2 linked regions of the Alligator mississippiensis genome follow. The protein of the gene in region 1 binds, or shares a complex with, the protein of each later gene. Links are inferred from orthologs where the notes say so. Each region holds a gene or a part of one and is shown in the gene's direction. Other genes may lie near its edges.

What was found. The genes of interacting proteins can lie anywhere in the genome.
Region 2: the proteins of F7 (region 1) and F3 are in contact, whole or in part, in a crystal structure (PDB 6R2W), measured with the Homo sapiens proteins. The link is inferred for Alligator mississippiensis from reciprocal best matches to the Homo sapiens genes F7 and F3. Residues at the interface, in NP_000122.1 of Homo sapiens: Leu73, Lys78, Phe91, Arg96, Leu99, Phe100, Ser103, Ser120, Lys122, Gln124, Leu125, Ile129, Cys130, Phe131, Cys132, Leu133, Pro134, Phe136, Glu137, Gly138, Arg139, Lys145, Gln148, Ile150, Val152, Asn153, Glu154; in NP_001984.1 of Homo sapiens: Thr49, Asn50, Lys52, Ile54, Glu56, Trp77, Lys78, Ser79, Lys80, Phe82, Tyr83, Glu88, Asp90, Asp93, Gly141, Gln142, Thr144, Glu162, Arg163, Thr164, Leu165, Arg167, Phe172, Tyr188, Trp190, Lys191, Ser192, Ser194, Ser195, Gly196.

What each region holds. Positions count from the first base shown.
Region 1 is NC_081824.1:351,926,809-351,934,689, reverse strand, and holds the start of F7 (coagulation factor VII), read left to right. Parts: upstream 1-4,840; 5' UTR 4,841-4,901; coding exon 4,902-4,971; intron 4,972-7,881. UniProt on the Homo sapiens protein: Initiates the extrinsic pathway of blood coagulation. Serine protease that circulates in the blood in a zymogen form. Factor VII is converted to factor VIIa by factor Xa, factor XIIa, factor IXa, or thrombin by minor proteolysis.
Region 2 is NC_081828.1:34,323,431-34,330,935, reverse strand, and holds the start of F3 (tissue factor), read left to right. Parts: upstream 1-4,448; 5' UTR 4,449-4,547; coding exon 4,548-4,647; intron 4,648-5,385; coding exon 5,386-5,500; intron 5,501-7,505. UniProt on the Homo sapiens protein: Initiates blood coagulation by forming a complex with circulating factor VII or VIIa. The [TF:VIIa] complex activates factors IX or X by specific limited proteolysis.

The sequences.
Region 1 (7,881 bases):
TTCCATAACAAATTCAAGAGATTAAACAGATCTAGATAACCCTCATTCCTGCCCCCTCCAGGATCCCATATTGCTCCACTCCTCTTTTGCTCCAAGGAGAAGCCCAGCAGGAATCTCCTTGAGAGCTGCCCTGGGTAGCAAGGATAAATCAGCCAGTCTCTACCACCTAATCAGCCACTGCATCAATCCTGTCACCTAGCAGCAAGGGTGACAGAACTGCCTGCAAACTGAGGACTTCTGCTGGTTGCCCCCTCCCCTTCCTTTCTGCTATGTGTGCTAGGGTGTTTTTAAGCCTTCCTCAGAGGCATTGAGTGTTGGCTACAGCCAAAGCTGGGGACTTTGACTGGGTTGTGCCAATGTTCCTGCTGGTTCCAAAGCCAGAGATTTCTGGGTAGTGGATTTTGCCCTTCTGCTCAGGGTCAGACCAATTGCCATGTTTGCAGCCAAGAAGGAATTTTACCCCATGGTCAGATTGGTGTGCATTGCAGGAGTTTTTGCCTTTCTCTGCAGTGGGGGGTGTGGTCCTCTACCCAGGACCTCTTGAGTGTATATTGAATCAACATTTTCTAGAAGCAGGATGACCACTATGGTTCCCTTGCTTTACCTGTAGCAGGTTAGGGTGTTAGGTTTGTGTTGTGTCAGGGTTGACTAGTTTTATGTAGAGTTTCACTTATGGTTTGTATGGGATGGTATAGTTTGGATTAGATTAGATGACCTCTGGTGATCCCCGCCAGCCCTACTTCTCTATGAGACTAATTATCACGCTAAAGGGCTGCTGTAGCTCAAGCACCAGCAACTTTAAACTGTAACCATATTCAGCAATCCCTTGCAGTCACGGATGGATGATTGTCTTCCATGATTGTCTTATCTGTGTGTCTGAAGATAGCTGATGAGGCCTATCTGAGATCAACAGAGTCTGCTGCACATGTGTTTCCATGTGGGGTGGGTGGCGCTGGATTCTTGATTTGGTCTGCGACACACTCTTTCTGCAGCTCTCACCTTAAAACCTCCTGTTGACTGTAAAGGTGCGGCTGCTTTAACCATTACTGCCAGCCCCGGCAAGAGCTGACTGGGTGGCAAAGACTGTTCAATCAGCCCTTACCCTTGCAGGTAGCTTCCATGCAGCCTCATCAGCAGGGATCCTGATTGTCTCTGATTAAAAAAAAAAAATCCCCAATTTCCAGTTAAAAAAAAAGGTATTCCTAAATCCACATGTTTCCGTGAGCAATGAAATGCCATTAAACTATATATTAGTGGTGTTTCATTTTCATCATGGAAAAATGTGGATTTGGGGTTACTTTTTTTAAACCAAAAATTTGGTATTGTTTTTTTAAATCGGAGAAAACCAGGATCCTTGCTCATCAGCTATTGTTCACTGACAAGCTCTCCAGGCATAGGGAGAGTAAGGAGCACCCCACTATTATGCCCTGACAGGAGAACATGCCTCTGTGGTGATTCTGTCAAACTCCAGCCAGGGAGCTGTGCATAACTATCTATTTTTTTTTGTAGTGCTACAAAAATAACATGCCTAAGGCAGTGCCAGGGCACCCTGAGGTGCCTTGTGATTTTCCAGGGTGCCTTGGGGTGCCATACAATGTCAGCACTGTTAGGCATGCCAACCTTTTCAGACTCAAAGCACCCTATGGAAAATGCCAGCCCTTAGTTTTCACTTATTTGTTGGTTACAGAAAAATAACAGAGCAACTTTTCTGCTGCAAAGAGCTCAGAAAGACCACAGTAGGTTAGAACACTTGTAACACTATGGATTCCTATCTGAAATCTTTGGATTTATCTTGTAATTTTCTCATGCCAAACTGTACTAATATTGTGTGGCACCTCACAGCACCCTTGAAAGGATGTCAAGGTACTCCAGGGTACCACATCCCCCTAGGTGAGAATCACTGCTCTAGGTGTTGGCTGCTAAGGAAATAAGCCCAAAGAAATAATAAGAATAAACAAAACGAAAGCCCATTCATTCCCACTGTGTGTATGTCACTCCTTAGAAATGAGACACTGATGGTTCCCTGGGGGGGCACCACAAGCCACTGCTCTTGAGTGTGTTGAAAATGCCCACTTGGGGTATGGTGTTGGGGATACCCCTCAGAACATGCTCACTCCCTTATTTCCAGAGTTGACACAAACAGTGGGAAAGCATGTGCAGGGAGTCTTAGTACATAGACGCTTGTGGAAATGGTGGTTTATAAAGCCAATTTCTTCCTACAAATACAAAGGAGAGGTCAGTATCCAAGCCTCTATCACTCCTTTGCACAGGTCCTACTAAGGTTTGGCTGCACGACTAAATGTGGGGTCATGCATGTTCTACTGAATCCATAGCAATAATCTCCTACTGTAGCAGAATCCAGTCACTTCCACTGCCAAAGATGTGGTCCCTATTTTCATGGCAAAAAGAGGCTTGCTCAGATAATAATGGTGGCTTTTGTTCTCCCAGAATATAAGATAAAAAGGTAAAATTTCCAATTGCATCTGACAGACTTGTTCTTATCTTAACCATCAAAAGCTGAATAAGTTCTTGCTGCTATACAGAAACAGTCGCAAACAAGTAAACACAATTTTAGTTTCTACTCCTGCTCCTACCCTAATCTGGTGGGGCTGTATCTCCCTCCCAGTTGTTCCTGTCCTCTCTTTTCCCTGAACAGGAGGCCCATCCCACCCTTCTTAACCCATCCCAGGAGTCAACACAGACCTCCCTGCTGTACTGCAGAACACCCCAAACACTTGCACCTCCTCCTACACTCGTCCCTTTATTCTGACTCTATCCCCAGTTCCTAGACTTTCTCTTCTGCCTACCTGCCAAGATTTTCTCTCTTCCTAACCAATTCATGAGGCAGAAGAGAAATAGGAAACTAGAAGCAGGAGGATTGTGTCAGCAAGGAAGATGAGCTGTTTGTCACAGAAATTAAATCACTTGGATTGGATGAGTGTCCAATAATTTTTTATGATAACTTTATGACTAATAAAAGCTCTAACATCTCTTCCAACTATGAAGTTGGTCCAATAAAAGGTCACTGTTCCTATACTGTAACCAGATTTCAAAGCAGAATTTTCATTCTGTCCAAAAATGCTAATTTAAAGCATATTCATAAATGGCACACAGATAGACTAGCTGGAAACTTGGGACACTTACACACATGCAAGGAGGCTTCTCCAATGCACTGTAAATCCTGCACATCAGAGCAGACCCAATTAATCGAGTCTGCTGGAGTGTGGAAATTAACATGGTCAAGCAGCCTCCAGAGTCACATGTATCAGCATCCCCAGACTGAAAAATGGTAGCAGGGCACTTTGAACTAAAGTTCATTGAGCAAGCTTTAATTCAAAGCACCCCGCCACCATTTTTTCAGTATGGGGATGCTGATACATGTGGCACTCGGGCACTTTTGATTAGCACAGCTTGCTAATTAAAGCACTTCCCTCCCTCCCTGACCACCTCCCAGAGCACGTGTATAAACACCCATGGATTTCTTTGATCCTGTTCTTCTTAATCATGATCCGGGATCCTGGTTTTCTCTGATTAAAGAAAAAAAAGGCCCCAATTTTTGGATTAAAAAAGAAACCCACAATCCACATTTTTTGGGTTACTTTTTTAAATCCCAAAACTGGCGCTTTTTTTTTATCAAAGAAAACCAAGATCCCTGACCATAATGCTGAAAGCTAGCAACAGAGTAAAAATTTCTCATTCCCTTCATGAATGTAGGTAATAGCCGTGTTGGTCTGAGGACATAGGCAGACAAGGGTCTTTGGGTAAATCTGATAACTTTTATTAAACCAACTCAAATAGTTGGAAAAATTCTTTGTAGCAAATTTTCAGGCACAACCACCCTTCATCAGGCTAAGGAAGCAATTTCCTCAGCCTGACAAAGGGTGTTTGTACCCAAAATCTTGCTAAGAATTTTTCCAACTATTTTAGTTGGTCTAATAAAAGATATCAGATTTACCCAAAGACCCTTGTCTGCCTCTTTCCCTTCATTACACTGACGTACACAGAGAATCCACTTTCGTTTATCCTAAAAAAGTAGAATCATAAAAGGAACTGCTTGCTATGGAATGCTTGTCTCCAAAGACAAATACAATCCTACCATTGCTGATATCTTAAGCAAATCTTTGCAAACTCTATTCTGAAGTTATTAGTCTTTGATACTTATTAATTCAAAGGAATGCTTGTTTTCCAGATAAAACTTTGGCTATGGATTAGACCACATTGAGCAAAACCACTGAAAAGATTAATGAAATTTCACTTTTTCTCCACTCACCTCTTCTATTCAATATTCCTTAAGATATTTGTAAATACCAATATATATTATATGACTCCTTAACTGCAAAAAGAACAGAGCAAAACAGGACTTGACCCTTTTTGTTAGTTAATTAGTGCCTCATAGTAGTGTCAGGCAGTAGTTTGGAGTTACAGTGGTGATGAAGTAGAAGAATATGTATGAACTGATATTGTTAAGCATCAACAATGCAATCCCATTGACTCCAATAAGCCTGAAGCTTGGAATTCTGCCAACTAAAGCTATTTTGTGCATAGCTTGAGTGGCTATGCACATAATACAATGTTATTCAAATTGAAGCCATTTATTGACACTAGTATTCCACGTTTAGGAATGTTAGGTAACTAATAAAAATGCATTGTAAAGTTCATAGTATTCAACCTGGTCTTTGCGCAATACGAGTAGGAGTTCTTCACAGTGGTCATCTTTGCTTGTTCACAAAAATGTGTTCAGGAATCGCAACATTTCCCCTTGTAAAAGGTTTCATTTTTCTCTGTGTAGTGATTCTCCACCCCTTCCTCTAGGTCAAAGCATTGAAAATAGAGATCTTTGGCTGCACTGTTCTTCCTGGAGTGTCAACAAGTTATTGGGACACCGGCATTTAGATTTCATCATGGTTTCCTGTCACTACAGAGTTTTGCTTCTCTACTTTTTGCTGCTGTTTCCTCTTTCTCTGGCTGCAGGTATGTCCTAGGAAACAGATGTACTGTTATTAACAATGAAATGTTCTTTTGTTAATCACATTATTTTCTTGTCAGGAGGTTTGAAACGTATATAAACATACCTCATGAATGTGGCTGTCTGCATGAGTACTCCAGTGCTCTTGTAGCTTCTGGGATGGGTGTCTACTCCTTAAATGTCAGTGGAAAAATTGCTTCTAGTTTCATCTGAAAATCAATTATTGAATTATACAGAAAGCAGAGAATCAATTAGCTGTCATTCAATCAGGGAGAAATTAGAAGAGTGACATTACAAATATGTAGCATAACATGAATGTGAATCAACAAGTTAGTTGCTGGCTTATCTGTAGTGCTAGTATATGCCTGGAAATCAGCAGCCAAGCAGCCAGAGGGGCACTAGTGAGATTAGACTATCCACTATCCCTTTTCAACTGATGTGGACAGGCAGTTTTGAAAAAATACAAAAAAGAAAAGGGAAGGTTTTCCCCTTTCGTAGGCACATGCATGAACACAGAAGGGGTGGGGAGGTCATTATATATGCATATGTATTTACTTTAATAAATGAATAAGTAGACATGGCATAAGAAAACAATTGCAAAATACTGAAAAATGACTTTTACTCTGAAAGAACAAAAAAGGACATGAACAGAAACAAAAGGTAACTGACATTCTCATAACAGTAAAGTTACTTCTCCAAATTGCTTTCACATATTTATTTTCTCTCGTAAATTCAATGACAGAACAGTGAAAATGACATCTAAATAGAATTTTAGGAACTAGACTAAATAAAGACTCTGTTAGAATTGTTATTTTGTAGATTTCCTAGGGGAAAAAAGTCTGTTTCAGCAAATGTTTATAGAAAAAATAATCATTGTCATTAAAGGACATGTCATGTGGCAGTAATCCTTTCTTTTTGTTTTATTCTGATTTTGTCTGTATGTGTATTAAAAAATATTAATGATATTAATGCTGATGTGATGGTTGGCAGGTAAACAGCATGAGCAGGGCACACTTCCCTACTCCCACCCCACCAGTAAGTTTCAACATTTCCTTGCACAGATCTTCGCAAAACAGAAAGAAAACCACTTTCTGACTGAAAGGTAGATCGCTTTCTTTAGGGAATCATACTGGAGAGGAAGAATATACTGAAAATAGTCCTTGATCAATCCCAGATCTCTGCTCAGCTGCTCAAAAGTGAAATAAGTAGCAGTGTTGACATTGAAATTATCACTACTCTTCAGAATTAACTCTTTAATATGTAGGAAGGTATTGTACACTAACTCAAAAAGATTGTACATTCTACTGCACAAAGTTATAGGAAAACAGTACTGCATTGGGCCAAAAATAATATAATTAATTATTATAACAAAATATTATCTTTCACTATAAATTATATGGGTATCGTGAATGATATAAAGACCATGAATTCTACATTAATATGATCATGAACTATAACAGTGGTATGAATTACTAGCCAATTGCCCATCAAGAATGACAGGGAGGGGGGGCAGGAACAGAGCACTGACACCCACCGTACCGCACTGCCGCCTAGTCCATCCCCACCGTTGCCCATCGTGACTGATGGGGGCGGGGGACGGACAAGGACGGAGCTCCGCCACTCAGCACCCCTCAGTGCCATCGCTCTGCTTCTGGCCCCATGCTCCCCCCACCCTGCATCTGGCCCTATGCACCAGAGTGGGGGGTGAGACCAGGACTGTGTCGCCAGCACCCCACGCTGCCGCCACCTCCTTGGAGGTGGTGGTGGCACGGGGTGCTGTTGTATGTGGCCATAAGGCTGGATCTGCCTCCGCCTTGTGTGCGCCCTCCCCCAGCCCCAACGTCCAGCCAGAAGTATTGCTAGGGCACACAAGTGTTTTCAGAAGAAATTAGAGAGAAATGTACTAAACCAGTGATCCTGAAATTTGGCTGCTCAGTAGCAATTCATGCTGCCACCACTCCCCCACTGCCAAATTTCCAAACACTGTGGGCCTCTTAGCATAGTCCTGGATACAGGGCTGCAGCAGAGGCCTAATCCAGTGTGTAGTGCTGGGACTGCGCACTGGATTGAGCACCAACTGTGGGCTCATGGACTAGATCTGGCCAGTGGACCAACCCTGCACCACTTATGCAGCCACAAGTTTGGTCACCACTATACTAAATTAGTGGTTTTTCAGTTATGGTCTATGGACAACTAATGGCTCACAGAAGCCTTCCTGCTGGTCCAAAGACTGGAAGATTTTGATTTAAAAAGGATGAGGCAATCACATATGGGGAGTCATGTTATATCTTCTATTAGAGAAGCTAACTGTATAGTTGAGTCAGATGTTAGACAAGCTTCAGATAAAGAGTGCCCTCAGGTCTCGCATTATAGATTTCATAGACATTAGGGCTGGAAGGGACTTTGGAAGATCATCAAGTCCAGCCCCCTGCCCCAGGGGCAGGAAGTCAGCTAGGGTCAAAGGATGTCCCTTTATCTTACCATGTGATATAATATGTGGAGTATAATTAAATTTATGCAAAGAGAAATCATATATTTGTGAGAGGAGCTGTATTTCCGTTCTCCAGCAGTATGGTAGTTCAGGTATCAGAACTAAAGGAAACCTTGTCCTACTTTTGACAAAATCTAGTGTGATGCTTGACACTCCTTCATGAGATACTGGAATGCAGCACTGTTAAAATTTTCTAAAGTTGTGGCCTGTGTAAATTGTGAGATCTGTCAATTGACCTCATATGTACATCATGGTGAAAAAACATCTCTGTCAGAGGTACTGCAAAGTTGCACAGTGAGAATATTCTAAACACTGTTACAAAAAGCCCCCAATTTTAAAATATACAAAACTCCTTTTAGCTGGAATCTTCCCGACTTTCCATGATTCTGAAGTTAAAAGTGTAACAAATAAAGATGTCCAATCA
Region 2 (7,505 bases), on another chromosome or scaffold:
ATTTTGTAGAATCTCCAGGAAAGGAACTGATCTGTAAGTAATCTGGGACTTGTTTATTCTTTGTATTTCAAAACTACTTAGTAATTCTGTCTTGAGTGCTAGTGTAATAGTGGCTTTCCATGAAACCTTTCTAACCATCCAAAATTTATATTTTTTATTTGTAATATTGGACATAGGCAGTGTTTAAGTAGCATTCATTTATCTTTATATTTCAACTGCTATTTGACAACAGTTGATCTGAGAGAGAGAGTTTAGGGTAAGTCCACACACTATATTTCTATAAGTATGAAGCAAGTTAGAAATTGTTTCTCTTCAACTATTCTTAATTTGATTATGCTGCAATTTATAGCACTAATTTCATACCACAAATTCATAAATTAATTTCCCACTAAAGTAGATCATTAAGGTATGGTAATAATGTTTAAGAAGTAGAGTAAATATCTGCAGATATATTCACAATATCAGCAAATATAGCATAATTCTTTCCTAGAAAACAAGAGATTAATGAAACTTTTGGACTTATTTATGAAAACTTTTTTCAGGTAGGTAAAGACATGCCAGCACTACAGATTTCTTCTAGCATAGCTATGTAATTTAGTGATAGGAAGAGAAGTCCTGACTGCCATATACTAGCAGTATAACTTGGTTGTTTGGAATAAACAATGCCAGGAAGAGAGCAGTATTTCTGGTATAAGCTGCATCCCCATTAGGGATTCTGGTATAAGCTGCATCCCCATTACTGGCAAAGCACTGATAATGCAGACAGTCTTTATCAGTATGATTACTCACACAAGTAAGTTCTATTCAACAAGAGGAAGGGTTACAGAATTAAGAGCTTTGAATGAAACATATGTGAAACTGAAATTGTATAGGTGAAGTATCAGTTCAGCCTTCCCAAGGGGACTATGCTTTATAGGAGAGAATTTAGCTGTTTCCGGTGTTCAAATAGCAAAGGTAAAAAATCTTTAATATCAATTCCGGTTATTCTAGAATTACTCCAAAAGTGTCACCATGGAATTATGCATGTTCTATAGCACCCTAAAATATCACAACACCCCAGCTTAAAGGTTACAAAATTCTGCAAAGAAAATAATCACAAAGCTGCATCTGCAAAAAGAAATCGAATCATTACTGGCATTAACGTATGAGTTTTTTATTTGTGTGTCAGTAGTTAGGTATGATTGGTCTGGATCAGGGCAGAGCAGGTGGGGCAGTACTCCCCCACACCATAGCCCCAGGTCCCCTGCCCTCCCCATCCTGATCCAGAAGCACATGCCCCCCCATGCCCTGCTGTCACTTGCCCAGCCAGGGCGGGGAGGGGAGCTGTGGGACAAAGCTGCTGCTTGTCCAGGAGGTGCAGGGTGGCCAGGGCAGCTCCCGTTGCTCTGCACCACTTGTCCGGAGGCAGTGCAATGGCTCTGCCCCATTCCAGCTGGGCGAGCAGCAGCAGGGCATAGCCCCCACTCCTAGTGCCTTCCACCATCCACCCAGCATGCAGCCCCAGCCCCACCCACCCCACACAGATTCAGGGGCACACACCCCACCCCCCTGCCATGCCCTCCCAGACTCGCTGCAGGAGCAGCGGTGAGAGCCACCGGATCAGCTGCCAGATGAGCAGCTCGCAGACCGGCGGTATGCAGCAGCAGGAACCATCCCACCGCCTCCCTGCATCCCCTGCCCCGACTGAGCAGCACTTGCCCCAACCCCTGTCCTAGCCCCAGCCCCAATCCCTCCCTCACTGCAAGGGTGTTGATCTGACTCCCCGTGACCCCTCCCTCACCCTCCCCACCACAACAGACTTACCAGCTGCACACACCTGTATCAAGTGTCATAAAGAAACCAATCTCCCTTTTATAACATTGTTCCTATGGGAAAATTGGTTCCAACTTATGTTTTGACCTAAGACACAGTTTTCAGGAACCAATTGCATAAGTCTGAGGACTGCCTGTATATGAATTGGGCCCCAAAGTCATGAGATTTGTGCAAAACAGAAAGATATTTTTAAATGGTATATATAAGATTCTTATTATTTGCCTTTTGAATCATTAGGTTATACATTTCAAAAGTGTGAGAGTAAGGAATGTACTTTTTAACTGAAAACTGAGATTCTCATGTAATCCTTTAACTTCAGATGCTGATAGCTTGGTAAAAACACTAACTCTTGCAGACGTGATAGAATTGTGGGAACTAGGAACTCTGTTGGAAACCAAAATGTGTTCTCTATGTCCAAAAAGCTAGGACACATACAACAGACCTAGTTCTAGGTGACCTTTTGTGTCAAGCTTGATAGAAGACAAAGGATGCCAAATTCTGCCCAGGCGTGGAGGTTTCCAGGGCTATAAGTCAGTACAGAGCTTGGCCGTGATAGGTGCCCACATATTTAGACACAGGGAAAAATGACAACTGTGAAATTATGAAATTACTACGCTAACTAAAGTAGCATACTATGCAGATTCCTACCATGATAGAAGAATTTGTAAGAAAGTACAGGTTTCCCTAGCTTTATGCTGTAGATGCATTCCTGGAAAATGGTGCATAACACTTTACAATGTAACAAATAGGGATATGTTCCAAGACCTGGACTATACTGACCCCCAGACCCATTTCTACCACTTTTACAAAACAATTTTGGTACTCTCCAACAGCAGACGGTACACACGAGCACAGGGCACTATCATAATGGGGATGGCAACTACAGAAACATATGTCACAGACGAGCCAGGAGCACAGAACCACACAGGAGACTATATTTTGGTGCACATCAGTGCCACAATGCACTGAACAAAGCAGCTGACTGCAGGCTTCCACCACACCAATCACATAAGAGTGAATTTACCTTGCATATGAATGAATTTTTGGTATAAAAAGTGTCATTGCATAAGAGTGAATTCACATATACAGTAAAGGAAACCTCAAAATCTTTTACTCAGAAGTATTTAATACAGGAGACAATCGAACCACACATAGGATAGGAGTTTAATACAAAGTTAAAAGAATAAAAATAGATAGTACTGTCACTGACAGAACTATCTTACAGTGGGGTAGTTATCTGTGATTAAATATACATGTCAATGCTGGCTGCAGGTATAAATTGTGCCTGGTCAACCCAGGCAGCAGGGGGCTAGACTCTTGCTTCCTGCCTAGCTACATGGCTCTGCACTTTCAGTACCCTTGTGCCCCAGCCAGCCCCTCCGCTGCCTGACACTGCCACCTGGAGCTAGCCCCCGCCCACCCTTGCACATGTAGATGCTGCACCAGGGAGTAGTTTACTCTGACTCAAAAAGCTTCAGAGTTTATTGTTTTGAATTAAACAACAAAGAAGGATTTTTTCACCTCCCTGGCTGCCTCTGACATTGGATACCTTCAGGGATGAAGACAGCCTAATCTGCACATCACAGAGCAACAGACTCATAAAAGGACTCTCAAATGCCCAGGGGAATACACTTCCAGCCTCTATTACCCATGTCCAAATTGGAGTTTATTTTCTACCTATGAGGACTTTTACAATCTTTCAATTTTCCTCAACCTGAAGAAGGGTGTCAGTGCCCAAAAGCTTGCAAAGAAATATTTTTTTTGCTACTACTGTACTTAGTTGGTCTAATAATAGATATTGCCTCTGACCCAAGAGCTTTGTGTATCCCTTGCACATGTAGATGCAGGCAGGAAGTCTGATAAGCAGGCTTTAGGGACAGAGAAGGCCTGAGTTCAGCAGCAAGCAGAACCTCCTGTGTGATTTTGTGCAAACTACTTGTCTCGGTTACTTGAATAAAAGTCATTACAAGTCCCTACTAACCTGGAGTAGAAACCCTGAAATACTTGAGAGAACTTCAAGCAGAGAGTTGCAGCCACTAGGGGCCAGGAAACATGCAAGGAGGAACAACTTCCTGGCCATCCCTTTATTGGAGCAAACGTATGGGAAGAGACAACAGTCTGGACACCAAGCGCCTTTCCCAGGCCCTAACAAAGGACACTCACTCTGCGCCTAGGGTCCGTCACATGATGTAAATGACATTAATGACTGACTATTCCGTGCTCGGGAAGGCAAATGTACATGACTATTACTTTTTAAAAACCTCCCGTATACATTGGATTCAACATTTAATATTGGGTTGAACGGATGCGCTATCACGTATTTCCCCGGTGACTCTCAGCAGTCTCCTGGAGATGATCTCTAACTCCTGGAGACTCCAGGGCAGTCCTGGAGGCGTGGCAGCCCCAAAGCGCCTCTATCCTCCTCCGCAGCTGGTCCCACCAGAGACATCACCAGCCCCAGGAGAAGAGCTGCGGGAGGGAGGGAGGGAGGCAGCGGCCGCGGGCCCTCGCGGAGCGAGCATCCCGGGGGGCGGCCGCTCCCCGCAGCCGGGGCAGGGCAGAGCCAGGCGCTTGCTCTCCCGCCGCCCTGCAGCGCCCCGCGCCCAGCCCAGCCCGCCCGAGCACCTGGGGTAAGACCGGCTCGTCCCGGCGCGTGAGTCACCTTGCGCCGCCCAGTCTGCCCGCGGACTTTCCCCCGGCGGCTATAAGGGCGGGCGCCTAGCGGCACCGCACACATGCTCTGCTCTGCTCTGCTCTGCTCTCCGCTCCGCGGGATGGTGCCCGGACGGACCCTGCTCCTGGGCGCGCTGCTGGCGCTGGCGGCGCCCGGCTCCGGTGAGTGCCCGCGCGGCGGCGGCGGCGGCGGCGGCGGCACCTGAGCCTCGGGGCGAGGCTGCCGCGGCGGAGGGGCTGGGGGATGCGTGGCGGACCGGGGCTACGGCTCGAGCAGGAGACAGCGCCCCGGTTTTCTTCCACCTGCCCGTCAGCTCCCCAGGGTCGCACCTGCTGAGCCCCTCGGTTGGACCAGGGACTGTCAAGCTGCGTTGCGAGGCCGGCGGGGTGCCCCCGGGCGCTGTGAGAGCCCGGCACGGTCCGCCTGGCGAATAGGATGCACAGGATGCCCCCAAGAGACTTCACATTCGAGTCCAGGGCTGTGGTCTTTTGGAGTGTTTTGCAACAGGAAAATTGCTGTCTGTCTTCCTGCGCGCAAAACAAGAGTGAAAACCAAGAGCTGGTGTCTTCCCGAGAGGGCCTCGAGTCCCTCCGGGGCGCCTGGCTGCCTGCTGGCCACCGAGCCGAGCTGCCATTGCCTGGGTCCTGTGTGGTGCAAGGGCAGAGTACAGGTGCTGGGGAGGAGGGAACTGGGTATGACCTGGGTTTTTGCACTGTTTCTCTCCCTTGTAGCTTGCAGCGTCTAATGTCTAGGAAGTTCTGATTCGGAGGCTGTGTCCCTCACTCCTGCTCTCAGTAGCTGCTGATGCCCCCATGGATTTGTCCTGTCTTTTGAATCTAAATACGCTGTCAGCTTTACCCAATGTCACTGAGCCCATTTTCTCTTCTCTCTTTTTAAAGGTAACTCAGAAGTGCCAACAGCAGTTAATATAACTTGGACATCAATCAATTTTAAAACACTACTAAAGTGGCTGCCAGAGCCGACCAACTATGCTTACACCGTAGAAATATTTGGGTAAGTAGAAATAATTGGAAATGTGTTTGTGCCAATGCATATTGACCCTCTTTTTAAGTTTATACATAAGCTTCTGTATAAACTTATAAAAGTAACTTGGAGAGAGTTCTAGCATTTTGCAAATGGATTTTTGTATTAATCAGCAACTCATTAAAAGTACTGGTAATAATTAGTCCTGTTGGGTAACATTCAAATCGCCTCTGTTCATCTAAATCTGTCTAGCCTTCCTTTGTCTCCTTCATGGTTTATAAAACAAATGTCACATACCGGATGAATAAAACCCAAGCTTGCAGAAGTGCCTAACATTTTTTTTGATTGTTACAATGTTCCACCTCAATATCTGTAGAATATTAAAACTTCTGTGAATTAGCTTAGGAAATGATGATTAAACATGTCCCAAAGAGAAACTGCATTATTGCTCTGTCTACAGCGTGGTGCCACTTATATTACTGTAACAATTTCTGGCAGGTTCAGTGCCTGTAACTGAGGGCTCAATATAATGAGCAATGAGAAAAATACCTAAGCAATAATTCAGTGACCTGACCTTGTCAGTGTGAGTCTGGGGCAATTGAATGACTTTGCCCAATCCATGACAGCATTTTGAAGGCAAACGTTTAAACAGAACTCCATAACGCAGCCAAACGGTGCAATCCTGCAAATGCTGATAGACACAGGCTTCCATATCATGTAGTATGATCCATGTAATTCCCATCAAGAGAGGTCCACTTAGTTAAATCAAATGGTTGCCTATAGTGTGGCATAGTAGTCGACTAGTGCAAATCACCGCGCAGGATCAGGACCATAGAGGTCAGCATTCTGCCTAATTAGGGCCATACTTCCAAAGGTATTTGTGTTCCTAGCTGCCTCTTTAGACACCTACTGTTCAGTAAGTTAGCCAAGTTGGTTTTCAGAAAACCCTAAATATCTGTTTGTACCTTTTACCTTTTAAAATTTGGTGCTGAGTCCATTTGATGTTGATTGGGCCTTTAGGGAATTCTATGTGCATGTAATATAACATGAATCATACAGGACCAAACTTTGCTAGTCTTAATCACGCAAATAGTTATATCTTAAGAAGGAGTCTGATTCACTTTTTTTTCTGGTTTAGTTTGAGCAGAGTCTAACAAAAGCTAGTTAATTTGCAAGTTGTACTATTTTAGTACTAAGCGTCTTATATGAATAGAAATGATCTTTTGGAGAGAACAATTAAATAATGTTACAAAAATTACTTAAATGTACTTGGAGGCAATGTGAACAGACTGGTATTAATTACTTCACTTTTTTTTTTTAGTGAAAAAATAGCTGTATGATGAGATCTGTAAATGGAAGTACTGTAGACTTCCACAGGCGCAGTAGTACACCCATGTGGATGCATTCACTAGTAGCAAAAGTACTGTACCTTGCTCTCAACCCCTAACAGCCTATTTTTGATACTGACACAACTATTACCTCTATCCCTCCATCCATCCCAAATGAGAAGTGCAAACAGTTTTGAGTCCTTTGCACTTTAATTTCATAAGTTACATGAGTACAATTTTCCTTCTGACTTAGTGTGACAAAACTGCTTTGTTTTCTTTCAGTCAATTGTTTATTTAATATAAAGAAGTTCTTACTCCTGTTATTGATGATGATGAATGGATTTTTAATGTTGCTTATACCATCTAGTGAAGACAAGCATAATTGCAGGATAAGAAATTTCTTCATGATGTCTGTCAGCAGGGCCTTTTTAAGCCTTTATTATTTTAGGGTATAGGATCTGAAAATGTGTTATTGCCTGTAAACATTTTCAGATTTCCATGCCATGTAATCTTACAAGTGACTTGAGAGTACATTTTGAAGATGTTCTGCCTTTTTATTATAGAATATCTTTTAAAGTCAGTCAGAATCTATTCAATGGTAATTTATTTTCAATTTGGATATAAAAATGTATGTCCACATTTAGGTATAAAGCCATATATTTCTCTAAACTGCATGTTTCTTTTTAGCAGAGAAGGAAAGTCAGTTA